2 linked regions of the Nothobranchius furzeri genome follow. The protein of the gene in region 1 purifies or fractionates together with the protein of each later gene. This does not show direct contact. Links are inferred from orthologs where the notes say so. Each region holds a gene or a part of one and is shown on either strand. Other genes may lie near its edges.

Evidence for each region. Proteins that work in one complex are often made in the same cells at the same time.
Region 2: the proteins of rilpl1 (region 1) and rab10 purify together in Homo sapiens (co-immunoprecipitation; 3 studies listed by BioGRID and IntAct, with this or other methods). This does not show direct contact. The link is inferred for Nothobranchius furzeri from reciprocal best matches to the Homo sapiens genes RILPL1 and RAB10.

The regions. Positions count from the first base shown.
Region 1 is NC_091746.1:75,752,712-75,756,242, reverse strand, and holds part of rilpl1 (RILP-like protein 1), read right to left. Parts: intron 1,298-3,531; coding exon 1,247-1,297; intron 1,172-1,246; coding exon 1,017-1,171; intron 1-1,016. UniProt on the Homo sapiens protein: Plays a role in the regulation of cell shape and polarity. Plays a role in cellular protein transport, including protein transport away from primary cilia.
Region 2 is NC_091742.1:11,399,511-11,401,815, reverse strand, and holds part of rab10 (ras-related protein Rab-10), read right to left. Parts: intron 1,734-2,305; coding exon 1,595-1,733; intron 523-1,594; coding exon 433-522; intron 1-432. UniProt on the Homo sapiens protein: The small GTPases Rab are key regulators of intracellular membrane trafficking, from the formation of transport vesicles to their fusion with membranes.

The sequences.
Region 1 (3,531 bases):
ATTCTGTCGGTGATTTCAGTTCAACCTTCTTCTTAAGCGTCTGACCTGAAAGAATATAATCTATACGTAAAAAGCTAACAGGTTAACAGTGAACAAGTCATCTGGGGATGAACTTTTAAAACTAATGTTACTTATGCACAGCCAGACAGGACGTTCAGAGCTGAAGGAAAAGTTTGTGTTTTTCGCTGAAAGATAAAAACAACGAGGTATTTCCACGACGCTAGCTACTACATCATGTGACACTGCTAGAGATCAGAGAGAGAAATAAAGTCACAGGAACTGTTAGGGCCGCCGCCGTGTTGGAGCCCCAGTGTGTGTGCAGCACTTCCTGGCCCAGGGCGTGCCGTTTCCCTGTTCAGCAGTGCAGCACCTTGGACAGCTGCCCTTGGGAAACAACCAGCTTTCCTCCTGGACCATGGACAGCACCAGGGCGGCAGGCACAGCCCGCTGGGACTGATCCGGGGAGAGAAGTTGTTTGTGGGTTGCAGCAGCAACTGGTGTTCTCTTCCCTTGTGCTTCTCGGCTCCGTCTAAACCTTTTGCAGTTTTGTGCTTGCTGCTAGAGAGAGTAGGTAGAATTTTTGAAGTTTGGACAGTTTCAGTTAGTTTGGCTCGTCTTTCAGACACACCTTGGTTAACTACCCGGTGGGTTTTTGCCCGTTTTGGATTTCCAGTCCCCTTTCAACAAAGGAGAGTAATTTTAGGATTTCCAGTGCCTGGACGTTCTCAGTTAATTTGGTAATCTTAGTTTGGTTCGTCTTTTAGACCCACCATGGCTAATTTCTAGGTGAGGGTTTTGCCCCCCCCCCCCCCCCCCCCCCCTTTAGTAAACCTGTGGAGACAAGGACATTTTGAGTTGGTTTTGCTTTGTCATGCCTTCCCCCCCTTGAGGGTGACCTTACGTTAGACTCGTCCATTTTATGTTTCCCCTCCTCACCTTCCTAGCTGAGCCCACTGTAGGGGGTAACAGGAATCATACAATCACGAGTGTCCTCAGGCTAAGATGCTCCTGATCACCTCTTGTAGTAGGCCAGCTCCTCCTGCAGCAGGAACACCTTGGCCTTCAGCTCGTTCCTCTCATGCAGGACGTCCCTCAGCTCCTGCAGGGTGAACCGAGGCCTGTTGGGGTCCTTGAGGTCCAATCCGCCCGACTCCTCCTCACAAAACGCCTCCTGAGAAGGAAAAATCCCACATGCTAAAGGAGAGAGTCAAAGGAAAGGGCGGAAGCAGGGAGGAAGTGAGGGTACCTTGGTGAAATATTGGAACACAGCAGGCATGTCCTCATCGCACATCGCCTCCTGGTGGCAAATGTTGAACTGTAAGTCAGACATCGCCCTCTTTGTTCCAATACTTTGTTTAGTTTAGTTTTTCTAGAGTCAGCCCAACAGAAACAGCCAGGGTCTGGTAAAGAAAAACTCCAGCTCTGAGCAAACAAACGGTCCGGATTCTAGAAATAATACCTACACCTAGCTGGTGTGTGTGTGTGTGTGTGTGTGTGTGTGTGTGTGTGTGTGTGTGTGTGTGTGTGTGTGTGTGTGTGTGTGTGTATAATATCTAATTAAATACTGAACAGGTTTTAATGAAACTCTCAGAAAGCAAACCCTGGCTCTCCATCGTGTGGCCTAGAGGTCGACCGGTACGGTTTTTCTATCGCCGATAGGATGCCGATGTGAAAGAGACACTTTCCACCTTATTTTAATACTAAATCTGAACTTATTCAGTGTTAAAGTTAGTCCCCTACGTAAAGCTAATTAAGAGCATTTATTATGCAGCTATTAGTGAACATAAACATACATCTGAATGAAATTCTGCAACAGCACCAAGATGTGCCTGACTTTAATCGGCTGAACTAAGGACAAATATCCCGTATGGTTGCGTCTGCCCCGTGTGAACCCTATGCAGTGTGGCTGCCACAGACACCAGAGCTTAGAAATCTGTTTAAATAAGAGTTTTAAGGTTCAAATGCTATTTTAGTTGTTAAAATAAAGAAACTTTAAGGAAACATCAAGAACGGTCAGGCAGGAAAACAAAAGACAAAAAGGAAAGAAAACCGTCATCCTTCCCTGCTAACAACTCAACAGCATCAGTCCAAAAGGCTTCAGAGGAGCTCAGATCCATCTGAGTCAAGTTGAACCAGCAGAGAAATGTAATCTTAAGGTTTCGACTCATCTGGAGGCAGTGTGGTGGCGTGTGCCTCCAACACTCACAGCTACACAGCAGATCTGGAGACAAACAGCTGAAATGAATCATTTTCCAGATGGTTTAGTTCCCTTTGTCTTCGCTTACTAACATAAATGGTAACTGTGCAGTTTTACACACACCGCTCCCCACGGGGACGGGTCAAACGCGGACCGGTGTGTGACGATGACTACGGGACGTAAGCTACAGTAGATGAGTGAACATCAGAACCACTTCAGGAATCCCGGCAGACGGAACAAGCCCCTCAGCTGGAGGCTAGGCCAGCTTTCGCTTTGCTTTATGAGCACGGAGGAACATTTAGGTGCTGTTAGGGTGTACTTTCTTCTTCCGGCTCTTGGAGAGTACAGACGCTTTTTTCTCCTCTCCCTCCCTCCTCCTCCCAAGGCTCTTTGTCCTGTGTTGTGCACGGCACTTTCTGCATTTTTTCTGGAAACTGGAGATTATTAAACATGGACCTGGTCAGTTGGTCTCTCAACGCGATTGATAAGATTTTTTCAGTGATGAGAACGGGAGAAGGGGCTCCCGGTTGCCCTTCTGGGACAGAGCCAGCTGGGTATATCATGGACTCCTGGAAACAGTGGAACATGATCTGCCTCTCTCAACTGTCTGTAGAGGATTCTGAAGACGTCTGGATATTCGTGGTTTTGGTGTCGGGATTCCTGCTGTTTGGCCTGAGCGGTTATCTGGCTTACCGGAACATTAACGAGCTTTCGAGGAATATTGGCTCAATCCGGGTGCTCAGGGATGGATTACACCGCGCTGTAAACTCAGACTCATATAATTGTCGAGATGAGTTGTAAGCTTGGAACTTTGGCTGAGATTCAGGCTCTGGCACAGAAGGTGGATTCCATCAAGGAGCGAGTGGATGGATCAGCACGGATTGGGATAGATTAATTACGCCATTATTGGATCTAGAGGGGTTGAAGACCAACAGAACTTTAAGACAGAGAGGAAGTTATCTCTGTCTGTCCCCAAAACCATTCTTATCTGAATCTGGTGCCCTTGAGCCTGTGAGGCTGAAGTAAAAACTCCCCTCAGAAGAAATGTGGAATGCTGCCGTCGCCATGGAAACCCTTTCTCCCTATCCCAGCCTGGGCGGGACTGTGACCGGTGAAGGCCGTGGAACCGTATCTAGGAGTCACTGTGCCCTCTAACCCATTATCTCCCTCCCCTGTCCAAATGGAGGTGATGAGCGCTGCTCCATGTGGCTGCACGCGCTGAAGTGAGGAGAGTCCCAACCCTACCTCCCCACCTAGTGGACACTTCTGTTGTGTGATGTCTGAAGTCTGTTGGATTTCTGTCTGAGGTGTTTTTTTGCATAGCAAAGCTATTC
Region 2 (2,305 bases), on another chromosome or scaffold:
AAAGCAAACAAATCAGGTTAAAGTTGAATCTTCATTCAAACAAACCAATTGGGTCAATAAATAAACAATCTTGTCTTTTAGAGTGGAATTATCGTACAAATGTCGGATCAATGCAGATGAAATCTAATGTAAACCTCCTTAGAAGTCTTCAGGTACAGTTCTCACACCAAAGCTCATCCAACTACGGGTAACAGAAACTACAATTTACCTGAAAACTGTTTTCACAAGGCTCACCTTTAAAGCCACGATTATAAAGATAAAAACACTAATCTAAGGATGCATCATTAAAGGATTATTGTCTCCACATGCAGGTAAACACTGAGCTGCACCTAGAACGCTCTGCTCCTGATGTGGAGTCGACTGAAATGTGATCAGCTGGTACAGACTCACTGATCTCCCAAACATCACAGAACAGGATACCAACTAACTCACCTGCTCCCCCTTGGTTTTTAGTACAACCCTCTTGTCCTCCATGTCACACTTGTTGCCTAGCAGCATTCTCTCCACATCCTCGTTCGCATGCTGAAAACAGAATATTTAAGGTGATGAACATACATTTCCAGAGGTCTCTAGTAGGAATGGATGCCTTGTAAGACATACTCTGGAGGGAAAAAGCTCAGATGTGCCTGAATCATGAAGTACAAGTCAGCTGGAGAAAGTAGCTTCAGACGGCGGGTTTTTGAGTCTTATTTCCTGATATTCGGACATCTCCTCCTCTGATTGGCTAACAGCAGCATGACTCTACCACTGACTGTTTGCTCTGCAACATTTATGTTTTATCTCCACAAATAACACAAGCCTGGAGGAGTTCTGCTGTGTGGTGGAGTTGCTAATGCTAACGGTTAGCTTCTACTAGCCGAGGGGTTCTCTGCGGTTTCCTGGATGCTAAACCAACAACAGCCTTCCTCATCGTGAGTCAAGATGGGTGAGTCCATGAATGTTAAGCGACAGTGTGACGTAGATCTGTCAGGCTTTTCTAATCCTAGAGTTTCACCGTCTGTTTTCTATCAGAAGCTAATGCAGGAGATAGGTGTAGGAGACTATTTTCATTTTCAGCCTGCATGAAACACTCAGAATGACCCGTTAGAAAGTTTAAAAAATGTTTTTTCAGTGTTCCAGGAAATATTGCAGAATAAATAATAGCAACAAAAACATAATTTCACATTTTAAAGCCAAAGCACAGAGCAAGAATCTTATGACACAATATCCATACAATATCGCAACACTAAAAGCCAGATGATATTCGCAATTTTTAAGACTAAATTTAACTGGAAAACTCCAATTAATTAATACAATTAAAAGATAATGCTCCGTTTAAACCTAGATGATTGTTTTTTTGTCTTAAACTGCTGTCTCTGAAGGACCTTGGGACAAAAACACAGAGCTAAATCATTTGATACATTGTTCTTCCACCTTTATCAAAATTTCAGCTTCCGCAGATTCAACTGTACGCTTTTGGAGCAAAAGGTCCCATTTGTAGTCAACAGGAAAGTCATTGTGATTCCTTTCCTCTTTAAAACCCAGGGTGAGGAATTACCAATAAAACCTTTTCCAGACCAGCCGAGAGGGAGACTTCCCAACATGCAACACTCACCTCATCAATGTTGCGCAGCCATTTGCTGATGTTTTCAAAGCTCTTGGCGTTCGTGATGTCGTAGACCAGCATGATGCCCATCGCTCCTCTGTAGTAGGAGGTGGTGATGGTGTGGAACCGTTCCTGACCTGCTGTGTCCCTGCCAAACAAAAACATGCTTTTGTTTTTGTTGTTTTTTTTCTTGGATCAACTCCACCCACTGACCCAAATGATGCTAAAGCATGCACCGTACTAGTTTACCACGTAACTCAGGTAGACATTCAGCTGTTGGAGAATCAGGAAGGGCCAGGAACGGTTTTAATTTAAAGTTAATTAATATAATGAAATTTAGTCAAACATCAAAACGCTGATCTGTATTTTAAGTAGTCAGACCAGGGCTCAGATTAAACAAATGCATCATAAAAATATAAAAAAAAATTACCATAAAAAATTGTTCCAGCTCAACTGAAGTAGCCTAAAATTCGTATCAATTTAAAAACATTTTGCCCCCCAAAAAAATCACAAACTTAAAAAATATGGAGTGGAATGTTTGTCCTAAGATTGAACATGTAAAATGTTTTCCAACCAATATTCATCAGTCCAATAAATGACGATGGGCGAAATATTTGCACAGAAGACATTTAGACTTTGTGGACCTGATTTGCATTTCACGCAGAAATCAGCCAATCACAATCATTCTTAACCAGTTTGCAGAAGCCAACCACGAAGGCT